Cricetulus griseus: one gene and its partners. The protein of the gene in region 6 interacts with the protein of the main gene of each other region in a pairwise test. Links are inferred from orthologs where the notes say so. Each region holds a gene or a part of one and is shown on either strand. Other genes may lie near its edges. The genes, in order: Nudt14, Osgin1, melanoma-associated antigen B18, Rpia, Rad51d, Lnx1 and Nadk.

Evidence for each region.
Region 1: the proteins of Lnx1 (region 6) and Nudt14 interact in binary tests that used the Homo sapiens proteins (3 or more experiments, as listed by UniProt). The two-hybrid records come from large-scale screens. The link is inferred for Cricetulus griseus from reciprocal best matches to the Homo sapiens genes LNX1 and NUDT14.
Region 2: the proteins of Lnx1 (region 6) and Osgin1 interact in binary tests that used the Homo sapiens proteins (3 or more experiments, as listed by UniProt). The two-hybrid records come from large-scale screens. The link is inferred for Cricetulus griseus from reciprocal best matches to the Homo sapiens genes LNX1 and OSGIN1.
Region 3: the proteins of Lnx1 (region 6) and melanoma-associated antigen B18 interact in binary tests that used the Homo sapiens proteins (3 or more experiments, as listed by UniProt). The link is inferred for Cricetulus griseus from reciprocal best matches to the Homo sapiens genes LNX1 and MAGEB18.
Region 4: the proteins of Lnx1 (region 6) and Rpia interact in binary tests that used the Homo sapiens proteins (3 or more experiments, as listed by UniProt). The link is inferred for Cricetulus griseus from reciprocal best matches to the Homo sapiens genes LNX1 and RPIA.
Region 5: the proteins of Lnx1 (region 6) and Rad51d interact in binary tests that used the Homo sapiens proteins (3 or more experiments, as listed by UniProt). The two-hybrid records come from large-scale screens. The link is inferred for Cricetulus griseus from reciprocal best matches to the Homo sapiens genes LNX1 and RAD51D.
Region 7: the proteins of Lnx1 (region 6) and Nadk interact in binary tests that used the Homo sapiens proteins (3 or more experiments, as listed by UniProt). The link is inferred for Cricetulus griseus from reciprocal best matches to the Homo sapiens genes LNX1 and NADK.

Annotation. Positions count from the first base shown.
Region 1 is NC_048598.1:181,118,283-181,120,707, reverse strand, and holds part of Nudt14 (uridine diphosphate glucose pyrophosphatase NUDT14), read right to left. Parts: intron 2,129-2,425; coding exon 2,085-2,128; intron 1,622-2,084; coding exon 1,557-1,621; intron 1,362-1,556; coding exon 1,124-1,361; intron 1-1,123. UniProt on the Homo sapiens protein: Hydrolyzes UDP-glucose to glucose 1-phosphate and UMP and ADP-ribose to ribose 5-phosphate and AMP. The physiological substrate is probably UDP-glucose. Poor activity on other substrates such as ADP-glucose, CDP-glucose, GDP-glucose and GDP-mannose.
Region 2 is NC_048596.1:196,070,363-196,074,651, forward strand, and holds the start of Osgin1 (oxidative stress-induced growth inhibitor 1), read left to right. Parts: upstream 1-1,489; 5' UTR 1,490-1,657; intron 1,658-4,289. UniProt on the Homo sapiens protein: Monooxygenase catalytic activity. Involved in regulation of cytokinesis; promotes RHOA activity, probably acting locally at the midbody in late cytokinesis.
Region 3 is NC_048604.1:77,629,013-77,631,806, reverse strand, and holds melanoma-associated antigen B18, read right to left. Parts: upstream 1,485-2,794; coding exon 501-1,484; downstream 1-500. UniProt on the Homo sapiens protein: May enhance ubiquitin ligase activity of RING-type zinc finger-containing E3 ubiquitin-protein ligases. Proposed to act through recruitment and/or stabilization of the Ubl-conjugating enzyme (E2) at the E3:substrate complex.
Region 4 is NC_048601.1:62,432,077-62,436,267, reverse strand, and holds the start of Rpia (ribose-5-phosphate isomerase), read left to right. Parts: upstream 1-1,391; 5' UTR 1,392-1,429; coding exon 1,430-1,693; intron 1,694-4,191. UniProt on the Homo sapiens protein: Catalyzes the reversible conversion of ribose-5-phosphate to ribulose 5-phosphate and participates in the first step of the non-oxidative branch of the pentose phosphate pathway.
Region 5 is NC_048600.1:96,305,149-96,308,648, forward strand, and holds part of Rad51d (DNA repair protein RAD51 homolog 4), read right to left. Parts: intron 1,477-3,500; coding exon 1,395-1,476; intron 1,144-1,394; coding exon 1,009-1,143; intron 506-1,008; coding exon 410-505; intron 1-409. UniProt on the Homo sapiens protein: Involved in the homologous recombination repair (HRR) pathway of double-stranded DNA breaks arising during DNA replication or induced by DNA-damaging agents. Bind to single-stranded DNA (ssDNA) and has DNA-dependent ATPase activity.
Region 6 is NW_023276807.1:141,138,860-141,143,075, forward strand, and holds the start of Lnx1 (E3 ubiquitin-protein ligase LNX), read right to left. Parts: upstream 2,801-4,216; 5' UTR 2,667-2,800; intron 2,451-2,666; 5' UTR 2,360-2,450; coding exon 2,209-2,359; intron 1,571-2,208; coding exon 1,418-1,570; intron 1-1,417.
Region 7 is NC_048595.1:739,966-743,465, forward strand, and holds part of Nadk (NAD kinase), read right to left. Parts: intron 1,453-3,500; 5' UTR 1,427-1,452; coding exon 1,248-1,426; intron 1-1,247.

The DNA of each region.
Region 1 (2,425 bases), on a different chromosome or scaffold from region 6:
CAGTCCCAGGAAGGCCCAGAGGGACAGGTGCTCTGACCTTCACTTAGCCGTACCCTCAGTCAAGCTTCCTCACGGCCACACCCTCCCCTTCAGAGTATGAGTCTGAGTAGGGTGACCACTGTCCAGACTCTCACTGGCTCCCCCATACCTTCAGTCAGGACACAGCCCAGAGACCTTGCATGTGAAATCTCTCGGAGACAAGGTTCCCGTCTTCAACCACCAGCCAGGACCCCTCACCCACCAGGCTAACTTCCTTCCTGCCTTCCATCCCTGTCTGCTCCACACACTGGCCAAACTCCTACGAAGGTCAGGCTCCTTAGATTCCCCTAAAGGCTGCCACGTTGGAAACTGACGGATCTAGGCATCACTGGCTGTCCACACGGAGGGCGCAGAAAAGGGCACAGAGCAGCCCTTCGGAGGCAAATGGTCAACACTGGATCCAACATGCTCCCACCACAGCTAGGCGCTACAGGGTGACGTCCCATGAGACGGAGGCAGGAGGCTGTGTGGAGCGTGCCAGCAGAGAGGTGGCAGGGACTCTGGTCCTTCGTGGTTCAAGGTGGGCTCAACCTCATGGGGTGGCAGGCACCCTAAGACCCTCTTTCTACCCTAAGACCTCAGGGGTCAAGGGTCACACACCACCCTGAGGCAAGGGGTGGCTTCCCATTTGAGGAAGGTAGCCCTGCCTGAGGGAGGCATGTGTGGCTGGCACCTGGACTTCAGTAGGGGTAGTCCCTCCGCCTTCCCCTCCCCAGGACTTGCCCTTCCCTCTCATTCCTGAGCCACCACCGGCTGAGAACAGAGCTGTGACTCACCCCACCCCCAGCGCCCGCCCGGTGCTTAATCCCACAGGAAGTAGAGCATCTGTCGGCAGCAGCTGCCACCCAGAGCCCAACCCCACATGGCTGGGACTGCAGGGCAGGGGCACAGGGTTGAGCATACTCCAGAACCAGCCCCAAAGCACCAGGTCTCGCGCAGCCTAGTTGCTGAGGCACGGTCCGTCAACCTTCTCCCAGTCCTGTGCTGTTCACCTTCAAGGACAGGGTTCTCACCCACTCCCTGACAGCCCGTCTTATCCCGCAGACCACACCTGGTAGCAGCCCGCCCTGCCAAGCCTCCTTACATGTATGTGGCAACCTGGCGCAGATCAGCGGGGTCCAGGTGATAGCCACACTCTTCCCAAGCCTCCTTGCAGGCCACTTCTTCCAGTGAGAGCCCAGGCTGGTCCACGATGCCCGCACAGAGTTCCACCATCACTCCCACGGAGCCGGGCAGTGCTGGCTTAAGCTCTTGGGGCTGGTCCCGGTCCACAGCTGCCAGTGACCCTGGGAAGAGGCGTTCCATCTCGCCTGCATATACAGCTGGTTGGGGGGGGGGGGAAGCATGGCCACATGACGGTCACCTCAGAGTAATCTACTCTGGGCCAGGCACATCTTTCTGGACCTTAGTCTCCCCCAAAGCCACCAATGCATGAGCACTGAGAAGCTCAGGACCAAGGGCCTGAAAGCACCCTGCTATTCCCCCTTCCCAACCCCTGCCCACCCAGCTGGTCTCACCTGGCCGGAACTGCTTCACTAACACCAGGCTTCTTCGAGAAGAGTTGAACATGAGAACAGTCACACTGCATGGGGGAATGGAACTCAGTAAAAGGGCAGGCTCCCCTCTCCCCAGAGCCCCAGTTCCCCTTCCTCTCTTTCCCTGACAGCCCAGGAAAGGTGGAACCCTGCTCAGATGCGACACACAGTCAGTCCATTGCTCAGACAGGAAGGCCACACAGTCAGGCCAATTCACAGACTAGGGGAAGGGGGAGACAGCTGGGGCAGGGGCAGGGGAAGGGGCAGCTGGGAAAAGTAGAGGCCCCTGCTGGCCAGTCTCCCAACGGTCACACCCCTCAAAACCACACTTCCCATGCTCTGGATCCTCAGGAGTAAGATCAACAGATCTCTTCAGCCCTAGGAGGGGCAGCCTGCCACCAGGCCTCAGGGACATGAGAACCAGAGACTAGGTTGAGGTGGAAAGTATCTGAAAACACCAAGGAGAGCAGAAATGGGGGTTTCCCTAGTGGCCGGGCCAGCCCCTCTCACCTGTCATGTGTCTTCATGAAGTCCCAGGACTTCTGGACACCATCCTGAAACAGTCAGGGTAGCAATCAGGAAGGGTGAGCAGCTGCCAGGACACATGGAGCTACATGGCCCAGACAGACTGACTGTAGCAGCTCCCAGCAGGCAGGCCTGCTGCTGGCCTGTACCCATCAGGAATGGGAACTCGCAGGCAGCAGGTGGGGGTGGACGAGGTTTCCCCAGAGGTCAGGACAGCCTAGTGTTCTGGGAAGGGTAAGGTAGAAAATCTGGGCAAAGGGCAGGAAAGGCATTTCAGGAGCAAAAAGTTCTACAGAGACCTATGCTGCCACCAAGCGTGGGGAGGA
Region 2 (4,289 bases), on a different chromosome or scaffold from region 6:
AAGAGGTGCCCCTCTGCCAGATGGTGGTTTGGCACCATGTACTCCTTGGGGAACAGACTCTCCTATTAAGACTGTTAGTGCAAACTAGGGCTCAGATGTGTGTGAATGTGTGTGGTGTGTGTGTGCGCGTGTGTGTGGTGTGAGGTAGGGATGTGTGTGTGTGTGTGAGTGTGTGTGTGTGTGTGTTTGTGTGTGTGTAGCAGTACTGGGGATTGAATCCAGGGCTTTGAGCATGCTAGGCAGTGTTCTGCCACTGAGCCATCTCCCAGCCTGAGCCCAGGTTTGAACATATGCATATGAATGCAAGCAGGGTTTTGTGGAAGGATTTTTTTTTTTTTTTTTTTTTTTAATGGTACTAGGGCTTGAACCTAGGGCCTCATGCAATGCTAGGCACTGGCTCTACTGAACTATTTCCCCAGGCCTATATGCAGCATTTTAAATAATAATTTTTTTAAGCCAGGAAAAACAAAATATTAAATTTTTAAATAAAAATGTGTGCTAGTAGCCAAGATTCTCCCAGCTGGAGGCTGCTCCACAAGGTGGGCCTAAGGACCCTGTCTTTCTTTACAGGGTCTTTGAAGGGTTCTTTATCTGGCGTTTGTATTCATCTTTTTTAAATTTTCTTCATTTTTTTTTTTTTAGAAAATTGCATCTAAGCGTCACTTTCTTGGTTAGTGTGTGGAGTCCCTCTTAGTGTTGGTTCTTAGAGCAAGAGCCTGACACCCACCCCCCAGTCCTTGCCCTGGTGGCAGAGAGGACCATGAGGGTGACAGCTGATAATGACAGGAACAGGTAATGGTCACCAAGGTTGACAGTGACCTAAACCCCTACCCAACTTCCTTCTGTTGGAGCAAATACTGAACACCTTTGTGGAGAGTGCTGTCCCAGACCTAGTAGGCAGCAAACAGTGCCACCCCAGGACCAAGCTTCCATTCAGCAAACTCAAGAACAGTTTAGCAGATGGTGTGACCCCTCCCCGCTCCTCTACAGGAAGGGAAGTCTATGAGGACCAGGGAGATACCACACAATCCTCTGGCCCACACACCCCAGCCCAGGAAGGAATCAAGCTCAACCCCGTTTTTCAGATAGGGAAACTGAGGTTTGTCCAGAGCCTCCAACCAAGAAGTTACAGAGTGGGGATTACCAGGGGTCAGGCTGGTGCCTGGTGGCTTTTTTTCTGCCCCCCTCCCCACAAGCTGGGGTGGAAGCCTGGTGGAACAGCTGCATAAGGTACTTCAGGGGCCAGCAGGCCAGTCATTTCAATTGCACATGGCAAAGTTGTTCCCATAGGGAAGAGACCAGGTGATCTCTCCCAAGGGTCACAGTTCCTCCTTCAGATCGAGCCTAAAAAGGGGGGCTGACCAGCAGGGGCCCTTTAAGGCTGGCCAGGGGCAAGTTCATTCACCCAGGGGCCCCTGCTGACTCATGCTTATGAAAGTGATTTTCCTGGCCCCGCCCCTGCCTCCGCCTCCTCCCAGCCCTGCAGTGAAATACCCCTGCTAGCCTTGGGCCTCTCACAGCCTCTGGGATCTCCAGGGCTAATGGACATCCTGTTCCTGCAGTCAGTCACCGTGACCAAGTCCCAAACCCTGACCAAGTTCCTCTGAGTGTCCTGCCAACCCAGGTTCACCAACTCCCTCCAGCTACTGCCCATCAGGTGAGTGGCCTGGGCAAGGCTGTGGGTGGGAAGTGATAGCTGTGGGGAAAGGGAAGCCAGACAGGGCAGCAGGGCAGTAAGTAACTTGGTCCTGAGCAGGACTCTGGGATTCCTCCCTGCTCCTCCCAGCCATGTCCATGTCCAGGTGCCTGGGCCACTCTCCCCAACAGCCTCATCCAGCCCATGGAGTAGCTGTTCTGGCAGGAAGAAGTGTGAATAGCCTTGATCCATGGCCACCATGTCTATAGTCCAGTGGGTGCTGTGCCCTGTGTGTCAGGCACAGATGGGCACAGCCCAGGGGTCTGGGCACTAAGCTTATGGAAGGTGCTTGGAGGTGGGGCATCAGGAATCCTTGGGCTCAGGTGGGGCAGGCACTTGAAATAAGTGTTCATTGTGACTAAGGCCGGGTAATACTTGGCTGACTGCGCACTTCCTCACGCCCCAGGACTTTGTGTCACTAGCAGCTGTCACTGTTACTTGTTGCTTTGTTTGGGAATGGAGGGGAAGGGGACCAAACTAGGCTGTCTGAGACCTAGACAAGATGCCTTCCTCTACCCTACCTCAGTTTCTTTCTCTGTGTAGTGGGGATAAGAAACCCCAGCTCTTGAGTATCTTAGAGGCAAATGGTACAAGGCCCCAGCCCTCCCCAGTGTGACAATTTCATAACCTCAGAAATATCTGTGGTGTTACACCAGGGCAGTTATTGACACTTATGAGAAATTCTGCTTTTCATTTTTATGTGCATGGTGCATGTGCTCATACCTGTGGAGGTCAGAGGTTGATGCCTAGCAACTTCCTCAATCGCTGTCCACTTTCTTTTTCTTTATTATTTATTTCTTTATCTTTGTTTATTCAAGACAGGGTTTCTCTGTGTAGCCCTGGCTGTCCTGGAACTCACTTTGTAGACCAGGCTGGCCATGGTTAGTACTTAGATGGGAGACACCTTATTTTTAATCTTTTTTTTTTTTTAATAGAGAAAGTGTGTTGGGGGGTCAGTCAGTCACCCTTAGGGGTCAGGAGTCAGTTTCTCCTCCCATCTTTATTGAGTCCTAGGGATCAAATCAGGTCACCACCCTTATGTAACAAGTTACCTGTTGGGCCATTTCCCTGGCTCTCCTGGACTGAACCTGGAGCCCATTGATTCAGCTAGCCAGCCAGTTGTCTCCAGGCCGCTTCCCTCCAGACCTGGGATTATAGACATTTGCTTTTTACAGGGGCACAAGGGATCCTAACTCAGGTCCTTGCACTGTGAGGCAGGCACTGTACCCACTGAGCCATCTCCCTGGCCACCCACACCAGCAATTCATCGTGTTAACTTTTATGTCACTATTGCCCTACCAGAGGGACATCAAAAAGGGGCTGTTCTAAACTTCAGGGTGGGGGACTCGCTCCTGTAATCTGAGCACTTGGGAGGTGCTGGCAGGAGGATCAAGAGTTGTAGGCCATCAGAGGCTTGGTGTAGTTTAAAGCCACCCTTGGCTGCAGGAGACCCTGTCTCAAACAAACCAGGAGGCTTATTCCAACTCTACAAAATACAGCCAGAGAGTGGAGCTGAAGTGCAGAGAAGTTGTTTTGCTTTATAAATGTGTAGCTAATGTTTGTGGGTGGTTGTGAGGGTGAGCAGCTTGGAGGATGTGACCTGGGGGGGACGGGGGGCCGGGGCCTGGTGGTGACCTCATGTGTATGGCATCCAGCAGCTCCAGGTGAAGCCTCTGCCAGCTGTGCTGGGAAAGGGGCCTGGTCTTGGAGTGCAAAGTCCTCCAAAGTATTAGCCCATCCTACTTCCTGTGAAGCAACTTGGGCATCCCCTTGGATCTGGCCTGTGTGGACAGGGCCTCCTGCTGGCACCAGTGAGGAGTTGTATGCTGGGGTATTACAATGAAGGAAAGGGTTGGCACCTCAGGTCTCCAGGGATACTTGGCATGCTCTTTTTAGGAGTGTTGGAATGTCTAGTAGGGTTCTGCCCACAGGGATCAATTTTCAGTTCTGTTAACTGCTTGTTCTGAAGCTTTGGGGGCATGACTTTTCCCCTGAAACCTCAGTCTCCTCATCTGAGAAGTGGGTTGCTGCTGTTCCTGGGGATAGCAGAGGCAGGAGGGAGAAAGCCCAGGCCCTTTGATGTTCCTCGGGTGCACTTGGGAGGGGATTGCCTTCCAGGAACTGCAGCCTGAATGCCCAAGGCTCTGACCATAGCTGCACGGTCAGTGAGAGACTGACCCTGCAGCAGGCCATTGGGTACAACCACACAGTGCATGATGAGTCTCTGGCCCCTACACTTGCAGGAGCACAGAAAAGGTTCTGGAATGAGATGGCCCGGTACAAGTCCAGTCCCCCTGACTAGATGTAGGATAGGCTCCTTGAAGCAAAGGTCTCCAGCCTCAGTCTCTATCTGTAAATTGGGAGTGATCGAAAGAGTACTTTTACCACTCAGATAAATATTATAAGCATGAACTGGTGTGTGTAGAGGGCTTGGACCTTGAGTAGCAACAGCTCTACGGAAGTCTGACAATGCCTGGTGTTGGCTGCTACAATTACTGCCATTGGTCATGCTACTTCAGTATCCTCTTAGGCCCTGTATGGGAAGGCCATATGGTTTCTAATAACAGCAGGGAGCCACCTGCGCCCTCCCAGG
Region 3 (2,794 bases), on a different chromosome or scaffold from region 6:
ATGGACACAGGTGTGGGTTCATTCGCTGGAACATGGAGAACTCATCAGTGGTCACACCCCTAAATAAAATTCACTCTCTCTGCCCACAACAGCTTCAAACTATGAAAGGGCGATAAATGTATAAGCAAATTCATTAATAATTTTGCATTTAAAGGTATTGAAGTCTACTGATAGAAACATCTGAAATATAACATAAAAATGAAACTTAAAGTAACAAATATGGCATAGGAATGCAATGATGTTATTCAATGTGCTCCTTTCAGACCTATGCTGCCCACATACTACTTAAAATGTTCACTATCCTTAATTTCCACATAGGAAACCTTCCTCAGACTTCAATATTGAAAATATAGCCTAGAACTAAAAGATGGAAAAAGGTAAAACTGGAATACAACAGAAAAACTAATATTATAAGCACTTTTTCTCCTCAGCCCATATTAGCACTTCACTATTAGGTAGCTGACAGACCTTTACAAATAGTGAGGCAACAGACTTAGCTATTACTTAGCATGGGAGAAGCTGCTAACCATGGCTTTTGAATGTGAACTGGCCGTAGCAGCAGTGCGAGCCCTAGCGGCAGACCTAGCTTGGGCTCTTTCTTCCTCATCTTTCAAAGCTATTTCATACAAGGGCACAAAGGCATCTGGTGTAGTATCATGAATCTTGGCCCAAAACTCCAGGACTTTCATCTTGCTGATCTCAGCCTGGGCTCTGGAACCCCATGTGAATTCAAAGGATGGAGGATTGCTGTCAGGCACTTTTCGGTACTCCAAGTACTTTAGGTTTACCAAATCTTCAGTGATAACTTTGGTAGGGTCTCCATAGATGAAGTGTTTTCGGTTAGCATATACACCCATCATATTAAGCACCTCCCAGACATCCTTTTCAGAGGCACAGTTATTTTTCTTAAAGATCACACCCAACACCATCATTAATAGGCCAGTATTGGGCATTATTTCTTCACCCCTCATGACATCAAAGGTATGATCTAATTTATTGAAAAGGGCATAACTGTGCCTGACAGGATCCACTTCCTTCAGATCAACACCAAAGGCCAGTTCCATGTGCTCTGAGGCTCTCTTTAGGATCTCATTGAAGTGACCTTTTGATGTTTTGACTACACACTTCTGCATATCTGCCTTTGTAATAACCTCCTTCTTGTGATACTTCTCCATCAGGAACTGCACCAATAAGACTACTTTACGATTTATAGGATCTTTACTCCAGGCCTCAAGCTCATCAGAGTCATCTGAATTTTTTTCATCTTGGTTTTCAGGCCCTGTACTTTCATATGTGTGTGTAAAGTTATAGTGAGCTCCCTGTGGCATGTTGGGAGGTGTAGGCATACCAGTATCAGGATCAGCCTGATCTGGAAACTCACTGAAAGGACCTGAAGAGGCCTCTCCTTCCTTTGGTGCATTTTTAGCACGGGCCTGGCGGCGCTTCTCACGGGCACGGAGCTTGCTCTTCTGGCCACGGGGCATGATGACTGTAGTTAGTGGGGAAACACAGATAGTACTGCAAACAGGTTAAGGAAGAGGTCACCCTGTAAAACAGAGGATGAGATAATTTGTACAATCTCTGTTGGTAGATCCTACTGTTCGTTACTCCATGAACAGCCACCTCGCCCGGTTCCCGTTAACTGACTTAGGAACCCAAAAGGGAAGGGGGTATTTAGACCTTGTCAACTCAGTTCCAACTCACAATATTAACTCTCCTCCTGACCAGTACTGTTTCTCCCGTTGCTAAAGGTTGTCTCTATCGACGTTGAGTCCCCAAATGCCGAGTGGAAGCACTGTGCCACAAGCGCCGTAGTTGGAGACACCTGAATTAAAAAATAGGGGTAGGATAATTTGGAGCAGGTCCCTTTGGGAAGGACTCTGGTCTGTGGGGAGAATGTTCCAGAATATACCTTGACACAAGGACGTTCCTACAATTCCTCACCAGACGACGCTCCGACGGCTTCACTGGCGACGAAGACAGCGCGAAAATAACGGCCGTTGAAGAAAAGCGGATATTACGGACATCCATTTCCGGTCACGCCCACACAGTCCTTTAAAAGCAACCACGCAGGCGCAGACGGAAGTAGGGGGCTCTGTCAATCAACCACTCTCCCGAGGGCTGTTGCTTCCAAGAAATTTAGTAGTTTTTTCTTTGCCTTTTCACTGTGACTTGAATTTTTCACTCTTATGAGCAGAGTCCACCTGCCTCGGATCCTGAATCTCATTTTATTGAGAGTCCTGACTATTAAAGTAAAAGCCTAAATTCAGTAGCCATTTCTGATACGTTTCACAACAGACAACAGACGAGGAGTTTTTTTACGGCATCTCCCGTGGATGACAATATGAGTGTTGTCAGTCCTTATTCAATATCTAACCATGACCATAAGTGCTGAGCTAGCTTTTCTCAATCTGCTGACTTCAGGACCGACCTTCCCACCAGGTAAGACAGTAAATACACAAACAATTTAAGTGTGGTTGGTATCTGAATAATAATACCCTATTCAGTATAAATAGACATATCTTATGACATAAATTGGGACGTCTTTTACCTAGTTTGTCAGCAAATTCTCAAACTGGCTTTGGTAAAGATTTTGTGTGGTTTTGTTAATTCTCTTCTTATTAATATTTTGGATATTTTTTACATTAAAGCTGATATAGGAAACATAAGTGTTATTATACTTACAGGGTATGAGACAAGGGTTTATTATTTATTAAGTAATGTTTAAATTAAGACAAATATTTATCTCTGTAAACTTTTCTCATAGTAAAAATATATTTTCATTATAGTTTAA
Region 4 (4,191 bases), on a different chromosome or scaffold from region 6:
CTGAACAGCACTTGTATACCTGCTTTTGGTGGCTCCTAATGGTGACTGAAGAACTTTCCCCTCCTTTTTTGGTAAAGGAGTCTATCAAGTGGTCCCTGAGTGTACTGGGCAGGATTACACTCTGATAAGATAAAACTCAGGCTGGAAAAGTTGCAAATAGGTGTTGCAACTTACCTTTATTGTTCCTAGGGGTTCTTGGAAAATTCTAGTTAGGGGTGTGGTGGCACACGCCTTTAATCCCAGCACTTTGAAAGCAGAGGCAGGCAGATCTCTGCAAGTTCAAGGCCAGTCTGGTCTACAGAGTGCCAGGACTGGCTCCAAAGCTACACAGAGAAACCCTGTCTGGAAAACCCCAAAACCAACAAAAAGAGCTCCCAGCTCTATTTGATGACATACTCATGTAATCCAAGCTCAGAATGTCCAAGTTCCAGGCCAGTTTGGGCTACACAGTGAGTACAGGCTAGTGAGGCTGTAGAAAGAGATTAAGAACTTCCAAGTGTTCAGTAAGGCTTAGCACCAGTTTCCAGCTTGTAAAAGGTGGTGATAAGAATTCTTCACCCTTACATTGCAGCAAACTAAAGGCAGAGGAGGCCCAAAGGTTTGAGTTTTAAAATTCCTCATCATCAAGAACTGCGGGATCTCTAGAGGGCACACTGGCCTGTGTGAACACCCAGGCTCCGTCTACACACCATGCCATCCAATACCAACAGCAGAACAATAATCCAAGGCTACCGACTGAACTTGTGGTCTTGGGTTTGTGAAGGTCTAGCAGACTTCAGAAGGCCTGGGAGTCTCAAGTGTATGTCACCAAGGAGCCAATCTTGTTGTGAGGTGAGGTGGCTCAGCCAGTTAAGTACTGACATAGGTGTTCAATTCCCACTACCCAAGTTGTCAGATAATGGACTCCTGCAAGTTGTCCTCTATGACCCACACAAGCCTGCACTCAAGCACACAAAGTACAACTTAAGTAATAAAATGCAATTACACAAAAAAGTTGTGTTGTTAGAACTTGAGTTTCTGGGGAAAACAAAGTCAGGTTTTCAACAGGTCTCTCCTTTTTTTTTTTTTTTTTTTTTTTTTTTTTGCACTGTTTTTTGAATGCGTGTACAGCCAGAAAAGTTCTCGGAGTTCACCTGACGGTGTAAACACTTTACCTCAGGGCAGACAGTTGTTGGTTTTCTAGACAGCTGCTATCCTGACCTTCCGGACAGAAAGGCGGGAGTCAAGGCGGGCGATTTGCTCGCTAGGTCGCACGCATTGTGGGGCTTGTAGTCCAGATTGCCTCAAGGCTTGAGGCCGCTGACTCCTCGGGACTACATTTCCCAGCAGCATGCGCTCAGCAATGCGCGCGGATTAGGTTGCTCGAGCGAGCCGATTTCCGGAGGCGCGGGGGGCGGGGCGGCCGCAGAGGCTGGAGCGAGGTGGCGGGATGCAGCGCCCCGGGCCCTTCAGCACCCTCTACGGGCGGGTCCTGGCCCCACTGCCCGGGCGGGCCGGGGGCGCGGCCTCGGGCGGGGGCGGGAACAACTGGGGCCTCTCGGGCTCCCATGTGCAACTGCCGGGGCGTGCACAGTCTGAGACCCACGGCCACAAGGGAGGCTCGAGCGCGGGCGGCCCAGCCCCCTCCACGATGTCCAAGGCCGAGGAGGCTAAGAAGCTGGCGAGCCACACGGCGGTGGAGAACCACGTGAAGGTGGGCAGCTTGTGGCGGCGTGATGGCTTCGTGCTGCGCCTGACGCCTGACGCCTGAAAGGGAGGGGGGCGGCAGCAGGAGAGGGAGAGGGTGAGCCTTGTATCCGAATACACGCTGCTCTTCCCAACCCCTGAAAGGCCTTGTAGACGTCGAATTGGTAGGTGCCAACTCTCCCCCAAATAGAGCCCCCCACCCCACCAAGATTTCCTGTCCGGCTGCAACTGAGTGTACCGAGGAGCCTGGCATTACCCTGTTGAGAGTCTGTCAGGTTGTTAATGCCTGCCTCCTTCCTAGTCAGCCCATTGAAAATGGTGAGCCCTGAGGCTGCCTCGAGTTCTTCACTTCTCATTCTCCGGAAAGCCACTGGAGAACTGGTTTGCAAAGAGTTTTTGAAATTTTACTCCAAACAAGCTTTTCAGCTCCTCCTGCTTGGGAACTTGAGTGCAATCTTTACAAAGAAGCCATCAAGTTAAGCCTTGCTGTTGACAGGGCCGGGTGGACACGACACCTGGAAGTGGTGTTCTTCAGGTGGAGTCCAGATGTTTAACAGTTACTCAGTCAGGTTGCGTCCCCATTTGGCTTGTTAAGTGGCAGGTGTGGTGCTATGAGTGGACTCTCAGTGTAGCAGGTTAATTATCTTAACTGTATTATTTCTGCAGCCCTGTGGTGGAGTTTCCTGGTCTCGGTTTCTGCTTCTTAGATAGGGTTATCAGAATCCATTTCTGCATAAAAGGAAGTTTTTTTTTTTTTTTCCATTTGCTAGTGTTATGCTGCACAAAGCTGCTTTGCAAAGATGATGTTCTTAGAGATTTTTCTAACTTCCTGCCATGCGTGAGGGCGGCCTGAGTGGGTGGGTCCGGGTCTGATAACCTCTGGCTCAGTCTGTTCTACACCACTCTTGTTTCAGGCAGGGTTTCTATGCTCTTCTGTTCTGGTGTAGCTCTTTGCTCCTTTAGTTTGCATAGGATTTTATACTCGATTTAAGAGGGTGTAGGGTATATGAGTATGAACGTAAAATGAGTGATTTGGCTTTGTGTTTGGAATTTGGTGCCACAGCTGTAAAACTGGAACGTAAAGTGAAATTTCAAAATACCTTCATGAAGTGACTTAACAGATTGGTAAATGCAATCTATACCTTAGGAGAGCCCCTTATCTAAGCTATCGTTTAACGTTTAGTGGCACATGTCTCCCTGACCTTTGTTTTATAGTTACGTATTTGATTAAACTAAAATCTGCAAGCTTTCATCTCATGTTAGAGTCCCCAAACACTGGATTCTAGCTATACTCAAAGAATTACCAGAGAATCCTTGGGAGATCTCTATTGAATTTTGGGAATGTCTTCAAATAGGGTTGTTTGTCCTGTAGGGTTTGATTCAAAGGTCTTTACTATTTCCAGTTTTCCCTTGGCTTCCTAAGGACACTAGAAGATAATTTCCTCTTCCTATTTGGAGACTCAGGCTGACTAGCAGCTTGCCAGGAACTTGATATGTGAACCACGCTGGCCTTGAGTGCTGGGATTAAAGGTGTGCACCACCACATACCTAGATGCTCTGATTCTACCGCCTAAGTGCTGGCATTATAGGTATGTGGTGCTACACTCAGCTTCCTTCAATTGTTTATGACTCCAGACACTTGTGACCTATGCTCTAGTCCTCTGTGCATTTCTCTTGCCTAACTCCCCATGAGCTCTGGGAGGAGACTTATCGTTATCTGCACATTCAGTGTTGGGTACAGTGAGACCTGCTTAGGCAATGTTCATTGGGTTGTGTAGAGTGTGAACACTGATATGGTGGTTGTGGGTTATGGAGGCCCTTTTCCTAGGCTCTCTGAGTTTGGGGTTTCCAGTCTCCCCAATCTCCGCTGACTGTTTCTACTTCAGAGTAGATGGAAAACTCAGAATTCTCAGTTGAATCTTTGCAACCAGGTCCAGACCTGCCTGATTCTAAAAATGTAGTTATCTTGGATGTGTTACTGTGCTGTCCTCATGGCCTGTTGCTTCATCCTTTGCTCTTTGTGAGGCCTCGGCTTTGTTTTGAGATCAGCTTAGCTTGAGGAAACTAGTGAGCAGACACTAGTATTAATATTATTATTAGTAGTAACATTGGTAGTTTGTTTTTTGAGACAGTCTCACTAGATAGCCCTGGTTGCTGTGGAATTCACTATGTAGACTAGGCTGGCCCTCAGACTCTCAAGAGATTTGCCTGCCACTAACTCTCAAATGCTGGAATTAAAGGTGTGGACCACCACACCTATCGAATTCTGTGTTTTCAGTCTGATAAAAGCCTGTTTTACTAACACACTGTTCCAGACTCATCACATATCCCGCCCCTCCCCCCAACCCACCAGAGCCAATCTCATAGATTTTTGAGATCACCCCATTGGACACTATACTGTTTAGGACTGCCCATTAGAAGGGCTGTCAGCTGTTGGGCTAGTTTGCAGGCAGCCCTTGGCCACTTCTAGTTGGACTAGGGCACAGACTCCTGCCTCTGTCATTT
Region 5 (3,500 bases), on a different chromosome or scaffold from region 6:
ACACACACACACACACACACACACACACACACACACACACACACACGGAGACAGAGAGAGAGAGAGAGAGAGAGAGAGAGAGAGAGAGAGAGAGAGAGAGAGTTTTCCTAATTGATTTCAGTGAGTAATGCAGAGATGAAGACAATATAATTCTGTACTCAAGGAGCTCACTGTTGTACAGGGCTGGTGAGCCTGTAAACAATGAAGCACATGAATTATGAATTAAGCACCAAGGAATTCCACCTGAGGCTCAGGCAGGCAGGGGTGGAGGGATGGGGGGTGGCAAACACAGCTGGAGCTGTAACACTGGACACATGCAATCCAAGTAGAGTCTGTAGGACACCTGGCCCAATACAGACAACACCTGGCCAGATGGGTAAAGCAGAAACAGGCAGATGAGCAGGCTCACCTGCTGGGCCATGGAGCCCCGAAGGTCCTGTAGCATATCCAGCATCTGGAAGATGTCAAATACATGCACCACCTGTATCCTCTGGAGAGCACCTGCCTGAGGGGTGGGACAGAGAAGCAGGGACTTGGAAAGGAGATCCCGGAAAGCAATAAATGTAATCACAAAGCTGCAAAAGCAAAGAGGCACTTAGACACAGTGCTGGCATCGGAATGGCAAATGGGTTTTGCCTAATGGGCTGGATCTCACAGTGGTGACTACCTGGGTGCTGAGCTGTAAGACATTCAGGATCCAGCAGGAAGGACAGATATGATTGATTAGTGATGCCTGCCCTGGCAAGAAATGGGCTGGAAACACAGATACAGGCCTTTGCCGCCTCTGATTTATGGTACTCGAGGACTTGGAAGTTCCTGGAGAATCAGTGTGGGTGGCATCCAAGCTGGGATGATGACATTAACATGAGCAGCTCTAGGAATGCAGAGGACGCTCCAGTTTCAAAGTAAGAAATGATGATTCTCATAGATGGTGTATATTCTTACAATGTAGTCATGAAGTCTTCTAACATGAGGATTTTAAAGGAACCCAGCCATCTTGCCCCCTACCTGTTTCTCCTCATCTTGGGTTCTAGCCTGTAGTAGCTGCAGGAGGCGGGATGCTGTCATTCCTCCACTGGAATCAACATACAGTACATTCTGCTGCAGGCTATGGGCCACATTTGCAGCCACACACAGGCACACCTTTCAGAGACAAGATAGGGAACTGAGTAAACCTAAGCCCTTGGAGAAGAGGATCTCACCAGGCAGCTTCTCCACTGAATCCTGCCCAGATTCCAACAACATACACTGGCTAAGGCCACACTCATTCTCAGCCCCTATGTGGTCTGTTCTGACCTTCCAACAACACAGAGACACATGCAAGAACTCCCTGAGGAATCCAGGTCAATGCACCCACCTCCCCCAACCCTCCCCTCTGTTGGCTCCAAGGGTACCTGGGTTTTTCCGCTACCTGGACCTCCTACAATTTCAGTCACCTCCCCTGTATAGAGGCCAGCATCAAGTAGTTTGTCCAGGCTGATGGTTGGAAGGGGATGGAAAAAGAAAGGAGAGAAGAAGCTGTATTAAGTCTGCAGATAAGGCCGGGCATTGGTGGAGCACACCTTTAATCCCAGCACTTGGGAAGCAGAGGCAGGAGCATCTCTGTGAGTTCGAGGCCAGCCTGGTCTACAGAGGGAGTGCCAGGATAGGCTCCAAAGCTACACAGAGAAACCCTGTCTCGAAAAACAAAAACAAAAATCTGCAGATAAATTTGGACTGGGGCAATAGCAACATGAGACCTGACCCAAAAAAAAAAAAAAAAAAAAAAAAAAATATATATATATATATATTATATATATAGTATATATATATATATATATAAAAGCTTAATGGTAGAGTAGTTGCTTATTATATGCAAACCCTGAGTTCAATCTCTAGTATGGGTGGCAGGTCAGGAAGGAGGTTGGAGGTTGGGGAGCGTTGGCATTCACTATTGTAGAATCTTGTAATTCATGAGCACAGAAAGTCTCTCCATTTATTTGATTCACCTTTGATCTTCTTCATCAGCATTTTTTATTTTCAGCATACAAATTCTACATGGTCTTTGTCAGACTTAGACCTATGTATTTCATTTCCTTAGATGTGGCAGCAAATGGCATTGCGTTTTTAATTTCAGTTTTCAAATGTTCATTGTGAGTTTACCGAAATGCAATTGATTTTTACGTGTTGATCTTGTATCCCCAGACCTTGCTAAACTCGATTATTAGTTCTGGGAGTTTGTAATTATTTTTTATTTGCTTGTTTTTGTCTGCCTCCCTCATCTGGTAGGAGCATCCCGGGGGGGGGGGGGGCAAAGACTGGGTCTTTATCCTTGTTTTGTCTCCAGTATTAGCACAGAGCCGAAAACCCTGAAGGCACACAGTAAATGTTACTGAAGAAATGACAAGAACAGTGGCTTGAATGTCAAAACTCAGGCTGTGGAATCCTTGAGATGAACTTCAAAACATGGTCACTTCCTAACCTCACTCCTGTCCCCAACCAACATGAAAACAAGTTACCACTACTCTCCATGTGCTGCCCAGGACGGGGGTGGGGGTGGGGGTGGGCTAAAGTTTCTGTGTGGCAGGCAGCCTGGATCAATGCCTGACTGTCATACACCTCCCTTCCTAACTCGGCAAATATAGTCAAAGACTGCACTGCAGGCCTCTGAAGAGGTTCTTGATGACCAACCATGACATATCAGCACATGACAAGCAGCAACCAGTCACCACTCCACCTATTTTAACTCCAGGGACCACAGGCTCCTGCCTGTCAAAATCTGGTCCTTACTCCAGCTCTGTGGCTTCTGTGTACATCCTGGGTGTGTTTAATAAGCCTCTACTTAATAGGTCTCCAGCCTCTGCTTCTGAATCCCATTCTCCCTGAGACACCAGAAGCCCAGGTCCATCATAGCAGCTCTTCTTGGTGTGTTCTCCAACAGCATCAGCAACACAGTGAGAGACTCTAGACTTAGATCCTGCTTCTGAACAGAGTTTAAAAACTCCATCCAGGTTAGGCTGGCATGAGGGCTTGGTCAATAAAAGTGCTTGCCTTCCAAGCATGAGGTCCTTAGTTTGAGCCAAAGAACATACTAAAAAAAACTGGGGACTGGAGAGATGGCTCAGCAGTTAAGAGCAATGACTACTCTTCCAGAGTAGCGCCTACATGGCAGCTCACAACTGTCTGTAACTCCAAGATCTGACACCCTCACACAGACATGCATGCAGACAAAACACCAATGCACATAGAATAAAAATAAATTTAAAAAAATCTGTGAGGGGCCTCTGGAGACAAGAGGTATCAGATGCCCTGGGTGGTTGTGAGCCAACTTTTCATACCTACACCCTGTCTGAAAGAAATCTCTTGTCACTGGGCGGTGGTGGCGCACGCCTTTAGTCCCAGCACTCAGGAGGCAGAGGCAGGTGGATGTCTGTGAGTTTGAGACTAGCCTGGTCTACAAGAGCTAGTTCCAGGACAGCCTCCAAAGCCACAGAGAAACCCTGAAACCCTGTCTCAAAAAA
Region 6 (4,216 bases):
GAGTAAATAAAGTTCCTGGGACTTTAACTTCCAACTCCAAAGAGTGTTTTGGAAGGTGTCAAAAGAGCCAGATCTTGAAGTTAAAATCCTGCTCTCTCTCTCTCTCTCTCTCTCTCTCTCTCTCTCTCTCTCTCTCTGTGTGTGTGTGTGTGTCTGTGTGTGTGGTGTTAGTGGTTGTTTAGCTGTGTGACTTTGGGCTACTTGCCTAACCTCTCTGGATCATTTTCCTTATCTGTGAACTAGGAATGACAACCCTTCTTCTCAGCATTCTTATGACATATGCATGATTTAGAGCATTAGCTGGTACTGAAGAGCTGTTCTTCTTCTTAATGCTGTTATTTTACTGTATAGTTTAATAAAAACCAGATGTGGTACACGCCTGCAAGCCCAAGACTCTCAAGAGGCACAGGTAGGTGGATCACTGTAAGTTTGAGGTCAGTTTTAGACTAGTAAGTTTTAGAGTAACCAAGACTGCAAAGTGAGACCCTCTCTCACAAAACATTAATTTAACCTAAAAGCTTCAATATCAAATAAAAAACAAAGGTGGAAAACAGTGTCTCCTCAGCTCAACTTACACTGGGGAAGATATAAATCATACATGAACTAATATACAATAACTTCCTTTCTGTGGCTTCATAGGTCAACAAGGGCATTTGGAACAAGTTGAGTGACCTCTACATGCCTCAGTATACTTTCCTGAAAACAAAGATACAATGACAGTGAACCATCCTGAGAGCCACACCAATGAGATGCCAGTGACCTTGAAATGTGCCCCAGGCACATGATGATTAAATGAGAAAAGGCACATAGAACCCTTAGGGTGTCTCCTGTATAGATGTGACAAGGATACAGTACATGCCAGCCTGTCACAGATGCTTTGCAAGGGCCCACAAGATAGGTCAGTGGCTCAAGGCACTTGGTGATTGGAGTTCCAGCCTCAGGTCCCACATGGTGAAAGAACACCAACCCTCACAGGTTGTCCTTTGACCTCCACATGCACTGTGACCCATGAGTACACATGTATGTGGGCAGGTACACCCATCTCCACCCACCCACAATAAACAAATGAACAAAGAAAATTAAAGCAATGAATCAAAACAAAGGAATTAACTTGATGCTTATCAATCTCTACAGAACTCATGGTAACTTTTTCTGTTTCAAAAGAAGACTCTATAGCGCCGTGTTGTGAGAATGACAATGATGTGTTTCCCCTCATTTGTGTAGAAAGATGACAAAGAAGACAGTTTCAGTCCTTACTCAGGTGGAGAGGCTAATTAAGGTTAAAAACCAATGCTGTACCCTTGGGAAGGGAGGGGTCACAGAGGGTGGGTGGTGGTCAGGCTGTCACCATCCCTGAAGTGACTCTGGAAACCCAGTCTGTGGCCAGCCTGGGGATGGGGGTGGGGATTCTGTTTACCTTCAGGGACAGTGGCATTCTCAGAGTTCTCCCTGCCCTGGTCAGCACGGTTGGCAACAGCACTCCCACTCTTTGTCCTTCGAAGAACACTCAGAGCTCTGTTAATCTTTTTGAAAGATCGGCTTCTCATAGTGGACCTCTCAAAGGGCCTCGCTGAGGAGAGATGTAACAGAGACAGGAGTTACAGGTTCACAGCCACCATCCTTTAGGCAAGTGCGCTGATATGTGCCTGTAATCCTAGCACTCATGGGGTTGGACAGGAAACTCAGGAAGTCAAAGCTAGCCAGGCACACAGTGAGACTTTGCCTCAAAACAAAAAAGTGACAACAACAACAAAGAAATATTTTATGTATAAAATACATGAAATGGGACAATACTATTAAAATAGTGATTGCCTCTTAGTGGTAAGAGTTTATCTACCTGCACTTGTAATTTTTTTTGTAATGAAAAACATATCCTATTTATGTAAAATCTTTTCTCCCCCTTTAGGTGAGAGTGAATGTAATAACACTTTTAAAGTAGGCAGGGGAGGTCCCCACATGTCAGGAACCATAATTCATCAGGCCTCACCTCAACCGCCTTCACCAAGTCAGATTACACAGCAGTGAAGATTTGAGCACTCACAGTTCCATTTTACTTTGGAGAACTGGACGGAGTGGCTGCCAAAACTACCAGAACCATTTCCCCTTTTGCAAAAACATTTCTAGAACTTTCCGCAGTGAGTATTCTACAGAGGGCAATCCCAGGGAAAACCAAGAGCCTATTCACAGACACCCACCCATTTGACTCACCCCTAGTTCGGTTGCTCCGGCCGGAGTCTGAGGAGTTGGTTACTGGCTCACCATCCTCCACTGTGGACACATAGGCAGGGTTGTCTAAGCCAGGCTCATCGGTCATTAAAGAGATGGTGGCAGCTGCAGAAACTTCTGGGGAGAGTGGCATTGCTGTGAGGCTGGCACAGCCATCAGTGCAGCCATCTTGTGAGCGCCTTTTCCGGTCCTTGGTCAGGCCATAGTGGGAGGCACCTTTGCAGCTGGAACAAACCCAAAGGGGCAGTTAGAATGTTTAGTAGGGTTCCAATACACACATCTGTCCCTGTACACCCCTCCCTTTTCACACATACTAATTCAATATATGCTTGCCAGCCAGATACATAAATGACTTGAGATAATAATTTTTAAAATTGCCTATTACGTTCTACTAGCATAATCTCCACATTGGCTGCTGAACAGTAGGAAATTAAATCTACCTGACTGGGGTGTGAGGATGGAGGCCTCTAGCATTTGGACTTGGCAGTTGCTTCTAACTGGTATCTATTTTGACTACGAAAGCCTGTCATCACATTCTCACTCCTTTCTTTTGGGTTTGGTTCCACAGCACTGGACATAAATGTACGAGGCCACTCCCAGATCCTGTATTTAGCTGACCATGGAAACAGAATTGCCCTTGCCACAAAGCCACAAGGTTTACTCAGAACTGCTATTCTCTAGGGGTAGGCGTGGTGGCTTCCATTCCTGTCCCATTCCTGTCCCATTCCTAGGGCTGGTAGGGCCTCCCATGCTTTTCAGAGGGACCAACACCAGGGGCTCTCACACACTGGAAAATGCTGCATCACCAACATTGGGAGAGAAAAACATCTTTGATAGTTTATTTATTTATTATTATTAACAAAAGAAACTTCTTCTGTGCATTTCCTTCTGTCTATCCATCTTACCATTTCACTAAAAAACAAACTTTGTAAAGTAGACCAGTCCTTGCTACAATAGGGAAGGGAAAGGATGCCCAGGGCGCATAAGACCAATGTTTGAGCCAATTTAGATCCTTATTTTTTCACGAACACATTTCATTGCCACTAGGCTAGTCATTTCAGTTCACTGACAAAGGTTCTGGCCAGGAACTGGGGATGTTTTGTACTGCTGGAGAAGGTAGCCAGATGACACAACTGCTGTTCCAACAGAAATCTTACTAATGAACTCCTTCAAGTGGCCATTTGCCTAACACAGTCTGCTCACTATGTATTGGGTATTCTTATCAGTTTATTACACAAACTCCATATCAGTGGTTCTCAACCTGTGGCTCACAAGCCCTTTGGGGGTTGAACGACTCTTTCACAGGGGTGGCCTAAGACCATCGGAAAATTCAGATATTTACATTATGACTCATAATTTATTTAGGACTTATAATTGCAGTTATGAAATAGCAACAAAATAATTTTATGGCTGGGGTCTGCACACCATGAGAAAAGGGTTGCAACATTAGGAAGGTTGAAAATTGCTGCTGTATATGATTGAAATTTTATTTTCTATTTACTTGCTTATTTTTTTAACATCTGTGTGTGTGTGTGTGTGTGTGTGTGTGTGAGAGAGAGAGAGAGAGAGAGAGAGAGAGAGAGAGACAGAGACAGAGACAGAGACAGAGACAGAGACAGAGAGAGAGAGAGTTCACATAAAAGTCAGGGAATAACTTGTGAGAGCTATTTCTCACCTTCTACCATTTGGGTTCTAGGGAGGGATCCAACTCAGGTCTTCAGGCCTGTCAGCAAGTGCCATTATCTGTTAGACCATCTCTGTGGCTTTCTTTTATTTTTATTTTATTCTTTTTTAAAGAAAGCACAGTAGCCACACTGTGATGGGGATATTTAAAATGCACATTTGTTTATTTATTTAGGTTTTCTGGAACAGGCTCTTGCTATGTGGTCGAGGCTGGCCTGGAACTCACCATCTTCCTACTGCAGCCTACTGTGGGGGTGCACTGCTGCACCCAACTGAATAAACATTTGTAAAGTCACTTGAGTCATGT
Region 7 (3,500 bases), on a different chromosome or scaffold from region 6:
TGTTCTTCCCACCTCAGCCTTTGAAGTTCTAAGATTACAAGTATGAATCACCAAGCTTGGGTTATTTACATAAGTCTTTAAAAAGTTATACAGAATATCACAAATATCAACTTTTGTAGGAACTTAAAGGCTACCAGGCAGGAAATTTAGGGCTTGCAAAGGACAAGAGTCAGCAGGTACTCCCTCTATCCTCCTTGAAGGACAGATGGCAGGGGCAAATTTGCTTATCCCCATGCTGCCCCATGGCATCAGCCATCAACTACAGAAGCTGTCCTGACCTACAGTCACTTTCACAGGTTCAATGTCCCTGGAACCAAAAAAAAAAAAATGTTATGCCAAAACCCACACAAACCAGCAGCTAAGGCAATTCTGCCCAAAGCTGGCAGGGTACAAACATAGTGGTGAAGGCACAAGCAAGAGAGGACAGTGCGTGATCAGCTGTGTACCCAGAGCAAAGGTACTGGCCACTTGGCCTCACTGTAGCCATCTCTCACACAAAGAACTTTCTACATAGAACCTGAAGCTGCCCCTGTTCCTTGTTCCTCCACTGCTACCAGGTAGGAGCTCTGTGAGATCATTATATCTCATAGAAAAGACTCCATGAATGGTTTTAAAGTGGCTCCTCACTATAGAGCCTGTCTTCACATTTCACAGCTGTGACCCTTGTTCTGCAGTCAGTGGCAGTCTCTGGCAAGCTTCCATCTAAAACTTAACAGTGATTGTCACCAGGAGAGAGAACACCTCCTGATGTGCGTGGAGTCCCATGCTTGTCAGGTGACCTTCCCCTGAGGCTTTATGTTGCAGCAAAGGGAGGCAGTGCCATACAACCTGCACTTGAGACCCCGTGGCCTGTGTGTGAGGAGCTGAAAGCTCCAGGTCACATGGTACCTCTGTCCCACCAGCACTTCTTTCTTTCATTCCTGAGCACAATCATGCTTTCCTACCAGCCTAACCGAAGGTCAGCACGGTTCTGGCTGGGTGGTTCTATGCTGAGGAAGAAAGAAAAACATGATGTAGCCTATATTTGGCACATGCCAGTTGGTAACAAGTGCCCAGCACAAATCTCGTGGACAGTGTTTGATCCCTCTGCTAAGGTCAGCACCACTTGGGCAGTGCCCAGCCCCACCCTGTGGACAAAACTCACACTTCAGCAATGCTAAACTACACTGATACAGGCTGTGTCCTCTGCAAGAATCTTAACATGTCCCACCATGGCACGAGAGGAGAACGAATACTTCTGGTCCTACCTGAACTCCTTGGTGCTGCCCAGGGCAGGTGAGGCTGACAGGCTCCGAGACTTGGCCCGGCCTCTGATAGGATGATTGTAGCTCCAGGTCTCATCCCCATGACATGCTGAGCAGTGGTATGAGGCTGAATCAGGGCTCAACTCCTTCCTCACATTCATCTTTTCTTGTTCCATTTCCATAGTTGATATGAGAAAAACACCGATGCCTTAATTTGATAAAATAAAAAAAGTCAATGTATGTGGGCAGCAGGAATAAACACTCAGTCTATCCAAGGAAATGTTGGTTGTGATTATCTGAACAACTGTAGTCTTGCTCCCATAAGACCCTCGGGATATTCCTTGTGGAAGGATGAGGGAAATTCTTGAAGCCCCTCACTTCCCTGAAGATATAACACTACTGGGAAAAGACTCTACTGATACAGCTGTCTGAGTCACCCAGGATCCAGTAAGTAACCTCAATAAACTGTTGAACTTGGTTGATCATTTATCAACACCTTCTCTATCTGGGTGAACAGAAAACAGACTCCTGCTGGGTGGTGGTGCATGCCTTTTTATTCCCAGCACCCAAGGGGCAGAGGCAGGGGGATGGATCTCTGTGGGTGTGAGGCCAGCCTGGTCTACAGAGCAAGTTCCAGGACAGGTTCCAAAGCTACACAAACCCTGTCTTGAAAAACCAACAAAACAAAACAAAAGCAAACAAACAAAAACCAAAACAGACTCCCTAAGAAAAGTCACATGCAACAGGAAAAAACTGCCAGGTTTTGGTTTTCCAAACTTCTTAAATAATATGCTACTTTCACCCTAAAGACAGCTAAGAACTCAGAATCTTTCTTGTCATTTTTCTTCAGTGCCAGAGACTGCACCCGGTGCCTAGCACATTCCAGCTAAGTGCTCTATGACTAAGATGTGCCTTCACCCCTCACTGGTGTTTCTGAACCAATCTAAAGATAGGGGAAAGTAAGGACAAAATAACCCAGTTAGATAAAAGGGTCTCTGGAAGGATGGACACAGAGCAACACACAGCAGCCTTTGTGGCCAAATAATTAAGATCAAAACATAAAGTTGTGGTGTAGAGAGCAGCACAATAATATACTTTTCATTCTCTAACAGTTGAAGAGCAGGTATGTGCTGGGGTGCACCCCTACAAAGTCTACAAGGTCAGTCAGTACCAAAGAAAGTCATCAGAACTGAACTGTAATAACCTTCCAAGACAACTTCAAGTCCCAAATGTCTTGAAGGTGCACAATTCTGACCATGGCTCAATAAAATTCGTGGGGGGGGGGGAGACAAAGGAAGAAAAAAAAAAAGCCTCTCTCCACTTGGAATTTTGAAACATTCTCCCAGACCACTCTGGGCCAAAGTCAGCATGGGAAGCCTCTTGGGCAACATCCAGACAGTGAAACCAGGCAAACACAAAGTTTATTTTTACTCCCCTAGAACTGAGCTAGATTTTCTGAGGATGAGTGGTAGTGAACTAACAAAACTCGAAATGGAATAAAACGAGCTGGCCTGGTAGTGGTGGTACATGCCTTTAATCCCACCCCTAGGGAGGCAGCGGGGACAATCAGATCCAGGCCAGTCATGGCTACAACTAGACTCCTGTCTTTAAAACAAAACTACAAAGGCTAGGCATGGGGACGAAAGCCCATGAAGCCAGGAGGCAGAGGCAGGATCTCTGAGTATGAAGTCATCCTGGTCTAAAGAGAATTCTAGGACAGCCAGGGCTACAAAATAGAGACCCTGTCTCAACAAACAAACAAAACTAGCAGAGACAAGCAGAGCTCTGTGAATTCCAGTCCAGTCAGGGTTACATTTTAATCAACTAGTTTCATTTAAGTGACTGGAAGAACTGGGTCTTAGCTTCTTTTCGGTTGCTGTGATAAACATTGACAAAAGCACTTAAGAGAGGAACAGATTTACTTAGCTTACATATCTAGTTCACAGGCCATCACTGAGGGAAGTCATAGCAAAGCCCTGTAGGAGCCATGGAGTAAAGCCACTCACCACCCAGGAACAGCTGGACAGGTTATGGTACCACTCACAATGGGCTGGTTCCTCCTACATCAACAGTCATGACAATCTTTCACAAGCCCATAGACCAACCTGATGAGTCAAAAACGAGGAGCCTGGATGGAGAATGTGCTACAAGCACGCACTCAACACAAGCCATGCTTAATAAGGAAATAACTGTATTTTGCCATCAGAGAAGAGAAGTAGCTGGGCCTGGTGACAAACACTTTTAATCCAGACAGAG